Struthio camelus: one gene and its partner. The protein of the gene in region 2 purifies or fractionates together with the protein of the main gene of each other region. This does not show direct contact. Links are inferred from orthologs where the notes say so. Each region holds a gene or a part of one and is shown on either strand. Other genes may lie near its edges. The genes, in order: SNRPA1 and DHX15.

Region 1 (9,086 bases), on a different chromosome or scaffold from region 2:
TCTGACCTGAGGAACTTTGTGGATTACATACAATCTGTAATGCTTCTTATTTGTTACAGGATTCCTTAAAATGCTACAAAGTAAATAAATATTATAAAAAAATTCTTATTACAATAAAAGTTATTTATATTAAAATTTATTAATATACCTAAAATACATTAACGTACCTTCTGCTATAAGAGACAATAAATAACGTCATTAAATATGCATAGGAACAGTGTTCTCTGATATTATGGAAACTATAGTGAAAACTTGCACTTAAAGGTTTAAAGTATTTTAACAATTAAGTGGATTTTGCTGCAGGAGAGCATAAAGAACAACCTCAAAACATCTCTAAAAATACAAATAATGAATCCCTCACACTTCCTAACTAAACACGAATCAATAAAACAATCGTAGGATTGACAGATGGGGGTCTTTTTTTTTCTTTTTGTCTCTCATGCTGAATGTAATGTTACTCACTGAAAAGTCCTTGCACTGAAAACTCACCTGCATTTTAGAGTACTTGTAATAACAGTTTAAAACTGTAGTTTTTATTTTTTCAAAGCTGAAGTTTACTGCAGTGCTTGTCTATCAGTTTATAGAAACGTAACATCTCCTTCTCATCGTTTTACAGTCTGTCAGTAATATACAGTCTTGCTCATGAAATACCATGTATTCCTGAAGTCTAGGGGAAAAGCTGTTCATTGATTCAACTTTTAAGCATAAAGAACCTGTTCCAGCCCAGAAAAAGGAGAGCATTCCAGATTGAAATAAAGAGCTAGGCCAATAGGGGAGTACAGAAAGAATAGCTTTTCTTTTCAAGATTACATACCTCAGATAAGTCAACGTTTTAATAGTTGATAATGGATCCAGTTCACCCTACATAATGGGAAAACAGTACGAAACCTTAAATCCATTTAATGAGAACAAAGTCCTTAAAATTTTAGCAGCCTTTACTCTGACACACAAGCAGTGACAAAAAAAAAAACCCTCACATTCATTTCAAGCTTACTTTTTGAAAACACTGGCAAATAGAGGAGTATTTGTACTACTAGATGTGACAACTCTACTAAGTCAATAATGTTTCAAGTAATTACACTGTACACAATTTAAGACAGCCAGCTGCCCTTAAGAGTCTTGACTGCCACTATGAAAAACATACATTCAAAAAATATGAAAGAAAAGAAACAGCAACAAAGTAAGCTTCAGTCTTAACGCGGAAGTAAGAGATAGAAAACTGTAAGCAGACATACTAGCTATTAACTCTGTTCAAATTCTACATAAAAGACTCAGATCTGCCTAACTTTTGTGAGTATAACAATGCAGTTACAAAGAAGTTACACGAATGCTCTTTGTTACCTATTATGTAACTCAAAGGGAGACTGTAAGAAATACTGTGCTTGAGATTCCTACTTTGGTATAAGTGACCTGAAATAAGTTTTAAAAGAGTATTTCACTTTTTTTTTTGAGAATCAGAAACTTTCCTTCTTCAGTTCAAAACTAGAGCTAAAAATATTTAATTACAAAGTAATGAAATCTCTTTTCTCAAAGCTCTTCCTAGAATCTCATATCCATTTTAGAATTACTGCAATTAATTTAACAGGAAAGCCACTAAGATTTTGAAACTACTGTTCCACTGCATGCCACACATCATATTCTGTAAAATAAATACATCACAACTACTACTAAAATGATATGATATTTTTCTAAATAGAGGAAAAAGGTTATTATAAAGATGGCATACATATATAATTTAAGGTTGTTAAGATTCGTTCAGTACTCATAGCTTACCAATTCAGCAATGTTATTGTTGGTAAGAACGAGCTCCCTGAGACAGGGTAAGGCCTGTTCAAGTCCTTCACCGATCCGACTAAGGGAGAACAGAAACCAAAGGTTTATTAAGGTTGGAAACTAACAACAGTGCAAAGACGCATAGAAAGACTGTAATCTAGAGTACCTAATTTTAAAACAACCAAGTCTGACACTATCAGAAGTTTGGGTTGGCATCAACATAAAAACATTAGATGCAACATATGCACGCACTTGCAGGTATCCCCAGTCTCCCTAGGACAGCTTGATTTATTTTTGCTATCGCCTAAGCACAGGGATGACAAATGAGCTCCCAAGTCTCTGGCTCTGGGCAAATTCCAAGTTCTACCTCCTACTGTCCTGTCTGAAAGACGAATACTGATCTTGGACAGATTTTTGCAATGCACGAAGCAGGCAAATTGAACAGGCCTTCAAGAGTACTCCGTGCTGTTGGGTGCCAATTTCTTTCATTGAAACAAACAGGTCTTCTACAACCACCCGCCACTGAAAGATGGACACACACTCGGGATTCTTTGCTTCCCTAGAGCATTTTCCACTGCCCATCTGGCTGAAGTACAACCACTTACCAAATTCTGTTGTTATTCATCAGAAGAGTTTTCAGCCTTCTCAACAGAGGGAACCCATCCAGTTTACGGATCTCATTGTCAGAGAAATCAATTGCATCGAACTGGTCCAAAGTGGCACCCAAGTTCTCAATAACAGGGATTTTATAACCTTGGGGAGAAAGCGTCAGACAGGGGTTAGATGGCATCTGGACAGCACAACAAAGCAAAGGTCCCTCTGCCCCATGGCCCCACCACCGCCGCCCCTGCAGCCCCTCTGTCCCACGGCTCCCGCCCCATGATCCCTCCGCCCCACGGCCCCCGCAGTTCCTTTGCCCCACAGCCCCCACCGCCACAGCCCCTCCGCCCCACACCCCCCACGGTTCCTCTGCCCCACAGCCCCTGCCACCCAGGCCCCTCCGCCCCACACCCCCCACGGTTCCTCTGCCCCACAGCCCCTGCCACCCAGGCCCCTCCGCCCCACACCCCCCGCGGTTCCTCTGCCCCACAGCCCCTGCCACCCAGGCCCCTCCACCCCACACCCCCCGCGGTTCCTCTGCCCCACGGCCCCCGCCACCGAGGCCCCTCCACCCCACACCCCCCGCGGTTCCTCTGCCCCACGGCCCCCACCACCGAGGCCCCTCCACCCCACACCCCCCGCGGTTCCTCTGCCCCACGGCCCCCACCACCGAGGCCCCTCCACCCCACACCCCCCGCGGTTCCTCTGCCCCGCGGCCCCCACCACCGAGGCCCCCCACCCCACACCCCCCGCAGTTGCTTTGCTCCACAGCCCCCGCCTCCACAGCCCCTCCGCTCCACAGGCCCCACCGCCACAGCCCCTGCCACCGAGGCCCCTCCGCCCCACACCCCCCGCGGCACCACCATCCCACGGCTCCCGCCGTTAGGGCCCCACGGCCCCCGCGGCCCTTCCGCCCGACGATTCCCGCCGTCAGGGCCCCGCCGCCCCACGGCCCCCGCCGCCTCCCCCCCACAGACCCCCCCAGCCGCACCTGCCACCGCCGGCCCTGACAGGCCCCTCCCCCCCCCCGCCCCGTTACAGGCCCCGGTCCCGCCGTAGGCCCCGGCAGCCCCCCCAGGCCCAGGCCCTCCCGGCCCCGGTCCCCCCCCCCCTCCCCGGCGCGCACCGCGCAGGTCGAGCTCGCGGTCGCGGACGGCGTTGGTGTACTGCGCCGCCTGCTCGATCAGCTCCGCCGTGAGCTTCACCATCCTGCCGCCGCCGCCGCCGCCACGCCGCCGCCGGCCCGCGCGCCAGCCCCGCCAGCCGAGCGCCGAGCCCGCGAGCGGGCAGCCCCGCCAGCCGAGCGCCGAGCCCGCGAGCGGGCAGCCCCGCCAGCCGAGCGCCGAGCCCGCGAGCGGGCAGCCCCTCCTCCACCCCCAAGATGGAGGCCGGGGCAGGGAGGCCTGCGGGGCTCGGCAGCCACCGGCCCGCCGCCTCCTCAGCGCCCCCGCGGCGTCCCCCCTTTCCCCGTCTCCTTGAGCACCTCGCGTCCTTACCCGCGCTCCCCTCTGCTCGCAGCGCCCTTCGTGCGCCGCCTCCTGGCGGGGCAGCCCTGGCCGCCGGGGCCGCTGCGGGCTCCCGTCGGCGCCTCCTCGGCCCGGGCCAGCGATGTCCGGCCGCCGCCGCCTTCCCCCAAGCCTCCGCGGGGTCCCGCTCCCCGCCAGGCCCGGGGCAGGCCGGTCTCCCCGGCGGTCTGGTTCCCCTTTGGGGCAGGGCGAAGGGCAGCCGAGCTGCGGGGTCCCCCCAGACGCCGAGTCGGGGGGCAGCCGGCCGCGGCGCCCGGCGCTTTCCCGGACGAGCGGGGAGCTTGGCTCTGCTGGGCGAGAGGGGAGTCGCCGCGGCCAGCGGCGTCCCAAAGCGGCGCGAAGCCGCTCACCAGAGCTTCCCGCCCGGCGGCTGGCGTTTCAGGGCACGGGGTGACTCGGCGGAGGTCCAGGCCTCGCGCCGGGGACCGAGTTGGCGCCTCGGTGTTTAGCCGGCGGCGCTGCGCTCGTGGGAACGTACGCTGCTCCCTTCCTGCTCAGCAGCCGGGACAGCGGCCCGCGCTGATTACAGCGCCGGGTGTAATTTCTCTCCTCCGTCCAAGCGGCAGCACCAGCCCGCGCTCCTGAACGCAGGGTTGCTCTTAAGTGCCTGCGGGCTGCGGCGTTCGCTGTGGCTGCTCTGGCGTTTCCACGCACCTTCCTGCTCTCACCAAAGCCAGGTCGGGCTGGGAGCACCCCGCGGGATGCTCTGCCCTCGCCTTTGAGACAAAACGCGCTTTGCACGCCTCGCCGCCCCATCCTGCCCTTAGCTGCCTTAGGGATTTGGAAACCGGTGAGGAAGAGCTGGGGTAGCCCCCGGGCTCTGCTTGTTGCGGCCCCGTGCAGCGAGCCGTGAGGGCAGCTGCCGCGTTGCTGAGTGCCGGACCTCTGGTCCGACGCGGGGCGGCTGCTCTTACGCGATGAGGGGACGGTGCCCGGGCCGGCCGCGTGCCTGCTGCACCCTCGGGGCCTTCCCCGCGCTTTCTCCTTCGCGGAAACGCCGCCCTGGTTGCTGTTCCCCAGCGCTGCCGGCGCAGCTCTAAGGGTGACCCGGGCCGCTAGGTCCGACCTGACGCTGGGCTGGCTTAGCGCTCCCGAGCGGCGCCAACTCCAGCGGTCTGGTGCAGGTCTCGGCTGCCCCAGGCCAGTCCTCTTTGAGCTGGGCCTTTGCATCAAATCCGCCGTCTGGCAGCGGGAGAAGGCGGCGCGGGAAGGGAAGTGGTTGAGCAGACCCCAAATCCTGCGGTCATGCGGCCACCGCTCCTGCGGCCCCAGGGACGCTCCGACCCTCCAGGCTCCCTGAGTCAGGTGAGGCAGAGTGATTTCTGCATCCCTTGCTATCTAGGGAAGGATTTTTTCACCAGCTGTGACATTTCTGTGAACTCGGGGGATCTGATAGCGGGTTAAATGCTGCAGTCACGTTTGGTACCACACCAGCTCTTCTTTTGGGAGCCTCTGGCACCCTCAGCCCGTGCGTGATGCCTGGCTCGTTCCCCCTGATTACGGCGTCAGAGCTGGCTCTGTTCGGGCTGGGGTCAGGCAGCTCCTGTGCACCCTACTTAAAACAGCCTCCTTGCTATCTGTAACTGATGCTATTTAGGAGAACGTATAGTCAGGTGTTCATAGCATCTGCATTTCCTCAAAATACGTTCGGAGAGAAAGAGCAAGAGAGATGTCATAGGAAGAAAGAAAGAATTAGTGGCACTTGTGGTAGGTGACTCAGGAATCACGCAGTGGTAAAGACAGCACAGTCTTGAGTCATATCAGGCACTCATTAAAAGCAGATTCAAGCTCCTGAAAAGCAGGTCCTGCCTCTGACAAGGCTAAACAAAATGTGGACCTTTCTGCCGTAGCGCTGTGTAGCTGTATTACACCTCAGCCTTGCAGCTGCTATAGGCTGGAGAGCAGAGAGGTTCTTGGCTTCAGATGCTGTACACGAGCTCTTAAAAGCCCCTTCTTTGTAATGGAAAGTCAAAGCAATGATTTTTAAGATGTGTGTTCCCCACTTGCTAGCTATGAAACAGCAGAGGGCTGTGGATGCGCCCTCGCAGCCAAACAGCAAACGAGGAGTCAGGCTACTCTAAGAGGTTTTTCCAGAAAACAGCTATTATAGATTTGTCACTGGTGCCAAGAGACAAGAGAGAAATGTGCTTTAATAAATTGACTAAATAGGCATTTATCTGGAAGACACAGCCACTTTGATCCTTTGAGCATACTGATGTCAGAGGGACTTTAATAGCTCTGAGCAAACACTGCAATAGCTTGGATAAATAATCTGAATTTTATTACTTTCCAAGAATGATTTCTGAGGGAGTTAGATAATGCCCTGGGAAATACTGGAAACTGATTTTGTTGTGTAAGCCAAACTGTGCAGAATTTGGTCCTCTTGGCACTGTCCACCATAGACTGGGATTCATAAGGGCAGCGGAAGCAGGATAAAGCTGAGACCGCTGGGGACCGGTCATCTTAAATTGCATTGCTTCACCCAGTATGTATTTTAAGTTATGCCAAGGATGTAAGGGTAAACATCTTTTTTCTTTTTCTTTTCTTTTTTTTTAGCATTTCAGTACATCTAAATATACCACGGAACAGTATTTAGAGGCAGCCACTGTGAGCCAGAGAACTGAAAGCCAAAGCTGACACAGTACTCTTCATTCACAGCTCCCATTTCTGACTGTATGACACAGCAACAGAATTAGAAGTTTTTCATTTTACAGCCTAAATGGCAGAAGCCAGAAGCATTTCACGCCACTTCTGACCTCTGGTTTGGCCCAAGACCAAAAGCGGGATGCTGGAGCAACAGAAAGAATCAGGATATGCAGTAAACCATCTCATTAGTTCACGCTTATCATCTGATAAACGTGAAGAACTAGAAGACACACAAGCCCACAGCAGCACAGCTCAGAGAGCACCTTCCCTTGTGGGGGGAAGGTTCATTTATTTTCTCTCTTCACACCTATAAGGCTCGATTCCAGATACCCAGGGACTACCCTGGGCACCTGGCCCCCGATTAAACATTGCAAAACCAACACAACAAACAAAAGGCTCCAGAGCTCCCTGCACTCCCTGACACCAGCATCGCCTCCCCTTTACCAACTAGCGGAAGGGGGAAGGTGGGCCCCGAGGGCACCAGCTCTGTGCTGGGACCAGGGATGTGGCGGGGGCTCGCGGGGGCCGCGGATGGGTGGGAAAGGGGAGCGAGCCCCTGTGGCAGCCAGCCACAGGCAGAGCACTGCCTGTGCCGACAGCCTGCGATGCTCCGTGCGGGATACAGCCCTCCGCGGCTGCGGAGCTCGGGCTGATCATGCAATATCAATGCTAATAATGAAGCAACGACAGCGTCAATACTACTTGAGGGCTCTGGAGATCTGTGACTACGGGGGACATTCAGGAGGTGCATTTCTTCTGAGGGTAAAAGACCTTTATGAGAATAAACGTGTCTAAGTTTTTGCAGATGCAGTTCATAAGCAATCTTGCCCACAGATGCTCTGGGGCCGATCAGGAGCTCTGAGCAGGACAGCTTCCTTGTCCAGTAAAATAAAGACACGTGGTGCGTCACAGCCTTCACCTGCCTCTGGTCAGGGTGGTGGCTGCGCTGAATTTGGAAAAAGCACAGATTCCTTTGTAAGGGGAGATCAATAGTTTATTAACTTAAAGGTCGGTTCACCAAAGCTCCATCTTTACTTGGTTCTGGTCCACTCGGGTTAGGACCGATGACAGTTTGGCTCTCCCCTCTTCACCTGGCCGAGATAAGCTCTAGTGGGCAAGCCCAGGCAGGGTGCGTATCGTTGCAACCAAAACCAAGCAGGGATTATCCCAGCTCCATAAGGAACTGGTGATAGTTTGTACTGTGAATTTCACTGGCAAAAGGTTTAACTTGTTAAAACTATTAACAATGAAAATCAGGTCATGCAGCAGAGGAAATAATTGTTTACATATGTCTAGTGAAAAGAGCATCTCTGCAAGGTTGGAGAGAGGCTGGAAAGAGCAGAAGGACGTAAGACAAAAGATTCCCCACTCCCCATACAAAAAATAATCTACAGAGAAAAACAAGGATTGTATAAGTTATTTTTTAAAAAATCTGTAAAACAACATAGCCAAGGATATTTTAAACACAATTATATAAACACCACATGATGTACTATTAAGAGAGAGCATGAAAAGGTTTGTTTTGTGAGAGGGTTTTGTAGAATTTAGAGTTTCCTGGCTGGATCCCTGGAATATCTCCTTTCGGAAACAGATGCTCAAGAAAAATCACTGCCATGAATACGAGGATTTTTTGAGGGAGACGAGTATTCCCACCAAAAATACAGGAAGGATCATAATACAAAATACTGGAAGATATTAATTAAGAAACCATCTCACTTAGCTCAAAGAGGAAGGATCTAGCTCATTTCAGAACTTAATCTATCAACAGCTTACTAGCAGTTTCAGAAGGGAAATACATTTAGTGATAAGGCTGGGATCCCACAGGCTGATCCATGTGGACGAACCCCCCCGAGTCCACAGGACTCTGTGTAGGCACAGGGGTTTCGCCTGTGTGCAATAGCACGCTGAGCAAAGCCCCGATGGACTCGCTGGGCTAACAGGCCTGCAAAGTCATTTAGATCAGCTCTTGCTTCGGTCCTCAAATCTCCAGCTATCGCCATGCTCGTGGCCAGAGAGAAACAGCTAACGACTGAATCTGAAAAGGGGTGCCAGAGCTGCCTTCAGAGCACCGCTCGGGCAGACTACCCAATTCATCGTTTTACATATGTACAGAACACGGCGCGCTGGCTTTTGGTAATGCGGATTTGTATCAGTTGTCACCTAGCAGAAAAGGCTACTGAGAGTCGAACCAGAAAAGGCTCTTCCTTCGCAGACGTGTGAAGTCTTGCATCCTTTGCAGCGTGGGCGCCTGCCAGCCACTCTGAACGGGCAAATCAGTAGGGTTTCTGCGAAGAACCGAGCTCGGGTACATGGATCATGCATTGGTCCCCACTCACAAGGGGCGTTTGAGAGTGTTAATATCACCGCTTGTTTGGTGCCTTTTAGGACTTAATCTTTCAGGGTATGAGCCACTTTCAGCTTAACATATCGCTATAGAAACACACCGACAGTGATATTAAAGCTATCAAACTTACAAGCGAATGCTTGACAGCACCATGTAAACTCTCCCAAAGCTGAAAAAATAAACTTTTGTCCTAAACA
Region 2 (9,875 bases):
GTAGAAAACAAGCCCTTCCTAGTCCATCTCCACTAAAACTAATTCTAATATAGATCAGTTCTCTAATCTAATCTCCCACAAGCTTACAGCATGAAAAGAGAGGGGGCAGCCCTGTCGTCTTTTGTGATGGCAGTGACTTGTGTGGGTTTAAAGTATAGATATTATCTCAAGAACACTGAGCTGCAGTAAATAAACTACAAATATGATCCAGAATTGAAAGTCTTGTTAATCCTCCATTTCTGTTACTTCATTTAACTTACAGCTGCCCAATCCCGCATTTAAGAAAACAAACTTATCAAGTTTTATTTACATCTCAGAAGGCAAAAACTCTAATTAGAGGTTAACCAAGGGAGTTGTTTTTTCTTTATTGTTTCAAAAAGGTTTAAGAAAGATAGAAATGTGGCAACTACATGTCAGCACAGAAAAACATGACATACAACATGCCCTCAAATTTACTCTCTAACATTCATTGGTCATTTATTGGTTTGTTCTACAGCAGCACTTTTTATCCTAAAAGGGCTTCCCAATCTCCTCTTGGTATTACTAAAACTTGGCAGACACATCCAGACTTCTGGGATCAACCATGGAAAAGGGGAATGATGTTCTGTTCCAAAAAGATGCTGCCTGCTTCCTCATCACTGACAAGTTCGAAGTAAGTGAAAGAGTGCTTCCAGATGAGCATTTTAATGACTAAAGTACAAAACTGAATTCTAGCTCATATCTTTTGAGGAGTGATCACTCAGACTTTGGTGAGATATATACTGGACATGTTAAGGTGTCATATGAACTTACTGAACCTCCTGTAAAATGCAACTTGATAATTCTTCATTTAAGAACGGTCACGTTTAACTTACTCTTCATCATCTTAGAGAAGCCTGATTTTGATTTAATCTAATTCATCTTGCTCACAAACTCCAATTCCATAACCAATTTTTTTTGTAAGCAGTCTCACCTATCAGCTTTCACATATTTAATACATACATATACATACAGATACAAAAGAAACATAACAGTCACTAAGTCATAAGATGAAAAGCACTTAAACCAAAAAGAGAAACACAGGACATAAGGTGAAACCACAAATCACTGTTAAATAGCCTAAACATTTCTAATAGAACATTACTATTATTCTTTCATTACTAAAAAGACACTTGCAAAAGTCTGCAGTTCATCCAAAAAAAAAAAAAAAACAGAGTTAAAAGAGAAATTCTGTTCTGTATGTATGAAAACAGAAGGTATAGTAAGTCAGAGTGATACATCCCACTCACACAAGCACTCTGATATTATGCAGCTACTGAAGTAGCTTAGAAAAAAATTAGCAGATTTAGACACTAACATACTTTACATAGCAACATTGTAACCAGAGACTTCCCATACAATTCACATATTTCAAGAAGTTTTTTTTGTTCAACAGTGATACATAAAGGCTGAAAGAAAATAGATATTGCGCCCATACTCAAGAAGTTTACATGGGCGACTACAAGCCTATTGGCCTGACAGCACTCCCATGCAAAAGTGCACATATTAGTACGTGACCTCAATTAAAAAGGAGGTAAAAAAATACAGGGTATCTTGATACAATATTTAGATTACAGTTAGATAGTCAGTAAGGTACAATCACTATTTCTGTATTAGCTCCCTGAATACATGCCACTTCAAATTTAGCTTAATCCAGTTCTAAAATCAACTACATTGCATAAAGGTGCTCTCTGCACAGAAGATATGTAAATACATGCTATTAACAAGAAACTCTCTGCATATCCCTTAGCCCTCTATAACCTGTAAAACTTAACAACCCTATGGATAAATCAGGACAATGTAAGATTAGTATGGCATGTGTTAGATGAATTAAGATCTCAAGTAATAATCATACTCAATAATTCTGCTTATAGCAACTGGTTCTTGGTCTCATGCCATTTAATGCTTTTGTTGGCAAAAGGAGCACAAAACCAGAGCTTATATAGGGTTTTTTTTTTTTTTAAAGGTGTAATAAAGATCAAACACTTGTGGTAAAAAAGTTATACCACTGCTGGGAACCAATTATAGCATATACCAAATGGGAAGACTATGGCTTCAGAGTGATAGTGATACTCAATAAAAATAGTACCAAAAATAAAACAAAAAACAAAAAACCAAAACCCACAACCCTACAACATACAAACTAGGAAACACTAATAACGATCATCTACACAACAATATCAATTGTACTAGGTTCAAATTATGCCAAGTTTTGGCGTCACCATTTCAAGATGTTACAAAAATCTGTATATACAAAAAAACTGTATATGTATGACTCTCTGCATGCACAAAGAGCTATACTAGCTTTTGAAAAATCAGGGGAACACACCTTGAGGTAAGCTGCTCAATCCATTTCATTAAAAAAAAAATAGATTATGGTGATCCTACATACATAAACAGATGTTCAATAAAAACAATCACTTCACTTTAGCTGATGAAAATATATCAAACTCTAGTAGCTAAAAATTCAAGCTACTCAAGTTCACACTTAAAGAAAATGCAAGTTCTATTTCAACAGCAAAGACAGTTTATCAATGAACACTAACTGCTGTGGCTGATTTTTAACAATCACCAGTTTTGTAAACAATGTAAGGCATTTATTTTTCTAGGATAAATGTCATAGCCCAAAACAATGATGCTGGACTTTAGGAAAGAATTAATTCAGGAAAGTCTTCTGGGCACCACCAAAAGAACAGACAGATAAAACAGAATACTTTTTTCTGGCCCTTTACATTCCAGAAGTCTGTTTTAAGAGTCCCCCACAGAAGTGGGGCAAAAGGAGATTCAGTGGAGGCACTGAAACCACTGTGTACGAAAGGACAGCACGAGCCCACTGTTCGAGTTCCTGCAGTTTAGGGGAGGGAGTTATAACTTCCTTTCCCTCCTCCCCAAAAAACCCACCCCACACCGACTTTTAGTTTAAATCTGCCATTCACCTGTTGGTTACTGAGTTAAAGCTGTTAACAAAGGAATAATGTTTCTGCCAGCTTAGGTACTAGTTACACAGGCTGAACAAGCCTCACGCTGACCTCTAGGACCAGACTGGCCAGACCCCTCAAGCCACAGACGGGAGGATACAAACAAACAGGGGCAGAGGGAGGGAAAGAGGGTGAGACATACGAAAAAAAAAAAAACAGAGAAACAGAGAAAGGAGGAGAGATGAAAGAGGCGCACACAAAGCCGGGCGCTGGGGAGCGGGCCGAGCAGCGCGCCGCCCCCGGCTCCGCCGCGACGCGAGCCCAACCCAGCTCGCCCAAGCGGCTAGGCCTGCGGCTTCCTCTCTTTCCCCCTCCCAGCACCGCCGCACGAGGCCCTCCCCGCCCGCTCCCTGCCATCACCCTGCCGCCATCCGCCCCCCCGTCCCGCCGAGGGGCCCGGTCCCGCCAGAAAGGCCGACCCTGGGCCTAGGGCCAGAGCTCAGAGGGAGCCGCCGAGGCTCCCGGGCCTGCCCAGACGAGGCGGCGGCGCGGGGGGTCCGCCATGCGGCCTCCGCTGCCTCAACCCCTCCTTCCACCTCCCACCGCGGCCGCCCCGCGACCCGAGGCGGCCCAGCCCCGCGGGGAACGGCCAGAGCCGAGGACGGGCAGACGATTACGCGGGAGCCGCCGTAATCTCCCACCCGCCGCAGGCCGCGCGGCCCGGGCCTCGCCGTCCCTCACCCGTCGGCGGCGCGTTTCTTGCTGGAGGTGTAGTCGTCTCCCAGGTCTAGGCGGTGGCGCTTGGACATGGCGGCGGCGGCCGGCCGGAGGAACGGGCGGGCGGGCGGCCGCGCGATGCGGCGGGAGGGCGGCCGGGGCTGGGTGCGGCGGGGCGCTCTCCGCTCCTCGAGCAGCAGCAGCGGCGGCGCCGCGAGGCCAGGCACACCAACTAAAATGGCGGCCGGAAGGAAGCGCCGGGGCTGCGCGAGACACTGGCGCGAGCCGCCGCGCGCCCGCGGAAAGGGAGAGGGCGGGGCGGGCGCGGGCGCGCGCGCGGCGGGTCCGCCTGCAACGGCCGCCCCGGCCCCACCCCCGCCCCCGGCCGCGGCGCTCTAACGGCTGCCGCGGGGCAACGGCCGCGGCTCGGCGCTGCGAGCGGCGTCCGGCCTCCCCGCTGCCGGTGAAACGGCGGAGAGCGTTGCCTGGGCGGCCCAGGCGCCTTCCCTAGCTCATCAGAGCGGCTCCAGCGCCCTGTTAGGGTCCGGCAGCCCGGGTGCTGCTGCTGATGCCCTGAGAGCAAAACTCGTTTCCCAGCCGGTCGTGCCCCTGTGGGCGCGCGTGCCCTGGGACAGGCGTTTCCCGGGAGGGTGTTTAAACCAGATAACTGTATTGGCAAACACCTATTTTAGGCTGCCACAGACTTCCCTAGCATTGGGTGGGGAAGAGTATGATCCTTCACATGCCATCTGCAGTAGCAGAAATGATTAGAAAACCGGTGGCATCTAAACTGCAAGCTATAAAAGCACATACTATTTACTACTTCACATCTTTAACTACTCAGACATCAAAGGTAGGTATTACTAGAAGTATGTTTTGGGAGAAAAGTCCAAGTGCCATTCAGAGACCCAGAAACAGAGTTGCTAGTTTCTGCCACTTTCTCTTGTGCTTTGTCTTTGGTGTCTGTGCAAGAAGATACAGTACAAGGAAATCCCATGTTTGCAATACAAACCCCAGAGGACCTGTCTGCTGTGACAAAGTTTTCTAAGGGTGAGCACAGCTACACTGGCATTTAGTAGAACAAATCCTAAAACCAAAATAACACACGAGTGAAAATGCTATTTTCTCGGTATAGTTACAGATTTTTGCACGTAGCTGTAATGATTACTTTTCACTGGCAGAAGTGCCAGCAGAAGCCTGTAGCTCAGGCCTGCTCCAAGAGACTTGTTTCTTGTGCCCCTGAACTGTGTTCCTCACCTGCTAGCCTGCACACACACTTTTTAAGAACTGGGTTAACCATCCACACATACAGAATTTGTACTCTAACTGCAGGCACAGATGAGCCTGGGCAGGAGAAGGTGGAGTCAGGCAAACATTGAGAGGCCTGTAACAACCAAGGCATCAGAAAGCAGGCTGCCCCCATGCTGGTAGAAGCACACTCAGTGCTTGACTGACCCACCTCTGCTCCCACACACCCACTTCCTTCAAGCCATTCCTGCTCTATCTCAGCGCTAGGTCTCAGCAGCTTTCAAGTGCAGTCCCTTGATACTTTACCATAGCTCATAAAAGCCCATCTCTAACTTCTTAACTCTAGCTTCGTTAAGAGGTACAATTCTTGATATATCCAGTCACTATCTAGAGATAACATCACTTGCTGGACACCATCTCCACTCGTCCTGCCCTATCTCACGCTCCCCCAGCACCTTCCTAGAGATTTAACTTCATATTTTAGATCAGTAGTAGTTTTAAGATGCAGTTTGAAAGCACTGCTATTGGTATAGCTTTCCACCTAGACAAGTGTTGAAAGACATGTGCTTTGCAAGTCTTGCTCCCCGTTGCCCTTCACAACCTTCTTGCCAGAGATTACTACAACCATTACTGAACTACTTGCATGAGCACTCCCCAGTCATTTTGGTCAAAAGCAGTCAGAATAGTTCAGATATTTTAAATACTAAATCTTTGTTAACGCTATCTGACTATGAGGGCAAGGGAGCATTCACATAACAGCTCTGCTAGCAAACCTGGCAGTGGTCAGAAAGGAGCATCCAGCAGCAGTGACCTAGTAGTACAGCTAGCTCAGCAAGGGAATGTTTATCCATAGCTTCATGTCCCGAAGATTTTCTGGAGTTCTATCAGAATAACTACTAAAATAGTTAGTTCTTGCCGTATATTCTTTAGTAGAAGAGCATTCCTGTTCCTAATTTTGGATAATATGACAAAATGGTATCCTGATCTCTGCTAGAGTTCTAGAGACCACTATAATGAAAATACCATTTTCCTGCTTAGCATTATCAACTGAAATAAATATTTCTTGGACCTTGATCTCGAGTTTTGCGTGCAAAGCCAGGAGTCATTTTCCAAGTTACATTACAAAAAAATGAAAGAGGAACCTATTTTAGAGGCTGCCAGAGGATAAGTATTACAGTAGTCTCTATCCCAAATATCAAGATTATCTGAGGTGCTCTGGTAGAATACAGAGCTGTGTTCACAGAATGCAGCTAGGGAAGGCTTTCTACACATCTCACAAAGTGGCTTTTAAATGATGGCTGTCTTAAACAAACGATTACTGAGATAGAGTGTCCGAGGAGAAGACAATTAGCTTATCAGAGAAGGGAGCCAAAAAACAATGCAGTGGCTGTGTCTCCCTGGAAAATGGAAAAAGAGAGGAAGAGGAAAGCATTATATGTATTAGATGGGATGAGCAGCTACCACTGTGCAGCGCTATGTGGTTCTCGGAAGACAGCAACTCTTCCACATCTTGATTATGCACAGCATCTCCCTATGAACAGCAGCATAAAGCCACTCAAGGTGTTGCTGCAAGTTACCACGCTGCCAACACCAGGGCAAGATTCTGCTTTAGAAGGCGGTACAAGAGGAAGTCTCAGCAGATATGACAGCCTGAAAATGATCTTGTGGCCGAATCTCCCCAGCAAGTGCAAAAAGAAGGGAGAAAGATCCAGTGTGTCAGCTGGGGTCAGCAAATACTAGACTGCTATGCCCAGGCTGATATCCCACGTACTAATTATCTATGTATTAACGTATTTCCAAGCTACCTGAACAGAACCTCCACTCAACTGTGCTTTGAGCTGTATGACTGCATAATAAATAATCTGGTCTTATCCCAAAGAGTTTGCAATCTAAGGCCTTCATCCTGCAAGCACACACATGCCTTATTTTACTAATGCAAATAATCCTTTTGACTTCAAAGAGATTACTAAGAGTAGCAAAATTAAGCATGTAGGTAAGTGTTTACAGGATCACAGTCTAAATATAAGATGAGACAGTAGGAAAAAAAATGATCAGGAAACACATAATGACAAAGTGATAAGCATTAAATTCCTAAAGGATGAAAGGAATGTGTAAAATAGGGCACATTTAAGCACATTTTCTGCCTTTTCAAAGGCATTTGTTAAATGCAAGTTTGTTTTTTTTTCCCTGAGAAGTCTTTCATATTCATCTATAAGAATGAAAATCTTAGATTACTGAAACAAGAGATGCTTATATTAGTTGCCATTTGACCATTTATTCTTTAACTCTCCATCTATTACCCTAGCTAAACAATGCATGCTCCTTGGTATCAAAATCTTCTTAGGCAATTTCCAGTGAGAAGAGTGCTTTGAGCGTGGGCATACTTACTGTGCTATTTGGGTTGGAAGGAGCATTAACGTCTAAAACTGATACAGTGACTTAGGAAAATAATGTTATCTCTAAAATATTATATTATTCTGATTGTGCATTGCGTTCACCCCGGAAGACTAATCGTGAGTCTTAGACAAGCTTTATATCAGAGACCTACTTTGGAACCAGTGCGGTTTCTGACAGAGAAGTGTGGCAGATTTAGGTGTCACAATTTCAGATATTACTGCCGCTAGCTAATTGTTTCACTCATTTGCTAGAGATTGCCAAGTCTACAAAGGGCAGGAAAATATGATATATCCAGTCTAGCATTTCAGTAGAAATATACCTTCCTCAGTGGTTTAAGCCAAAACAGGCAACTGAAGTGAATCCACACATCTTATTCTTTCGCTGCTGCAATGCTGGCAGTAGTAACGAGCAGGATCGCAGGGCAGACAGCTAAGGGAGGTTCAGTCTGCTAAAGCTTGAGTGTTAGACCCCTACAACCTCTGCAGTATATATTTCTTGTATGGCTGGCTGGAGGTAGGCTCAAAGCTACAGGCTGTACGCTCCCTATGCTATAGCAGCACTTACTCTGCCAGTACTTTTATTTATGGTTTGCTTTTTAAAAACAACTAAAAGCCTAACCCATCTTTTAAAAAATCTATAACACATAATATTAAAGAAGTTCCTGCAAACTAATTTTAAAATATTAAACCTGGAAGTAGTCCTGATAATTGTCACTGCAATCTGCTTTAAAAAATAAATATATACATGGGTAACGCCCCTAGTAAAATACCCAGGAGCCTTAAATACAAACACCCATTACAGACAAGCTCTTCTTCTGCCCTCCCCCCACCCAAGCCTAATGTGAGTAAATGGAGCTTATCCTTAGGTTCTGTCATATCAGCAGAAGAATACTTCAGACAAGAGCCCATAATCAGAGTATGTTTAAAGACCTCAGACTTCCAAATTTTTCAAATTTAAAAATATGAAAATGAATACATCAAATGATCTCAGTTTCTGCAGTGAAGAAAAGAGGTAGCTTCTATGTAATTACAGAAACTAAACTTTGCAACACTTCAAATATATATAAATCAACTTTGAATTACTCTGAGAAGTACACTTTAGGAAGCTAGCAGCACTGCCATGACAGCTGACTTTATCAGCAGTAAGATACTGTCTGAAATTTGTGAACGGTCATCAAACATCATCCCATATAGAACACATCACATCAATTCAGTTTGGAGGTCAAAAAGGTCAGGATGATTTTAGTAGTGTTTCACAAAGAAGGAAAAAAAAGAGAGAGAGTTTGCAATCACTGTGCAAGCACAGATGGGAAAAATCACTTCCGGCTATCAAAGCTACCTTAAACACCAGAAGCAAATGACTCAGGTAAGCTACCATACCTCATTCACCAAGGAGGAATATGCATCTCTTCATAAAGGGATAGATGCCAGGTCACCAGCCCAATGGCATCCCCTCTATCTTAGTTGGGTAGCATTACAAAGAGAAAAAATGTAACCAAGTACCTGAAGTCTTCTGAGAAAATTAAGACTGTGCACTGGATGGGTGCAACAGAAAGAGACACCACCAAGTAAAGACATAAGAAAGTAAAATGCTGAATTTTAACCCGCCCTTCCCTGCAGCCTGAACTATAAAGTGCACATTCTCTAATGTTATTTAAGAAGTGTTTTTAAAAGTAGCTGTATCTCTTAGAACTTCAACCGGAGGGACAATTCACTTTTGAAAAAAAAAACCCATTCTCTAAAAGGAAAGATATTGTTGCCTACAACTGCCTGCTATCCTACCGCTCTCAGTCATTTGCTAAGACCTTAGGTCACCTTTAGTCCACTCAAAGAAACCTTGCAAGAGTAGATGTTTGTTAAGTACTTTGAATTTTAAGCACTCTGAATTTAAGCTGAAGTGATGGCATAAACGCAAAATATCATCACTGAGTAAACTAGATTATATATCTAATTTACATTGATTCTACATTGAATTTACATGTTTTGGTAGGAGCACTTCTTTTGTGAAAGTTTGATTCTTTCTTGCTTTTTCTTTGCAAGTATTTCATGTCCACAAAGGGAAAAAATGCATTATCTTGGTATATACTTTTCATTCCTTTTGTATTCAGTACAATCATCTTTTATTCACTATTGAGTTAGCTCCTTAAGACTTTTTAAAAGTCCTCTCTTTTAATACAGTCTATAAAACACTCATATCCATGCGTAAGGTTAGGCATGCTGGATCTACCAGTGGTACAGCTTCACGCTGAGTATATGTGTAAGTGTAAGACACTTGTTATTGGCTTAGTTTCTATTGCCTGTATAGAATATACAAAGTTCCAAAAAGTAAAAATCACAAAAGCTCCTGAGGTGCGAAATAGGTGACGTAATAACCTCTACTTGATGGGTTATTAATGTACAAAGTGTTAACAGCTAGTCCTTATCTTCATAATAAGCCCCAGACTATATAACAAAATAGTAGCAGTAGAGAACCATACAGAATAAAAATCCATCATATCCTAGAAACACGATGTAGCAAACTATAAACAGCAACTTCCATAGCTTGCCCAGCTGGGCCAAGTTTTTCAACAATTTAGCT

Evidence for each region.
Region 1: the proteins of DHX15 (region 2) and SNRPA1 fractionate together in Homo sapiens (co-fractionation; 3 studies listed by BioGRID and IntAct, with this or other methods). This does not show direct contact. The link is inferred for Struthio camelus from reciprocal best matches to the Homo sapiens genes DHX15 and SNRPA1.

The regions. Positions count from the first base shown.
Region 1 is NC_090953.1:4,273,923-4,283,008, reverse strand, and holds the start of SNRPA1 (U2 small nuclear ribonucleoprotein A'), read right to left. Parts: upstream 3,662-9,086; 5' UTR 3,582-3,661; coding exon 3,500-3,581; intron 2,527-3,499; coding exon 2,379-2,526; intron 1,853-2,378; coding exon 1,774-1,852; intron 862-1,773; coding exon 815-861; intron 74-814; coding exon 1-73. UniProt on the Homo sapiens protein: Involved in pre-mRNA splicing as component of the spliceosome. Associated with sn-RNP U2, where it contributes to the binding of stem loop IV of U2 snRNA.
Region 2 is NC_090945.1:67,271,694-67,281,568, reverse strand, and holds the start of DHX15 (ATP-dependent RNA helicase DHX15), read right to left. Parts: upstream 4,019-9,875; 5' UTR 3,746-4,018; coding exon 3,678-3,745; intron 1-3,677.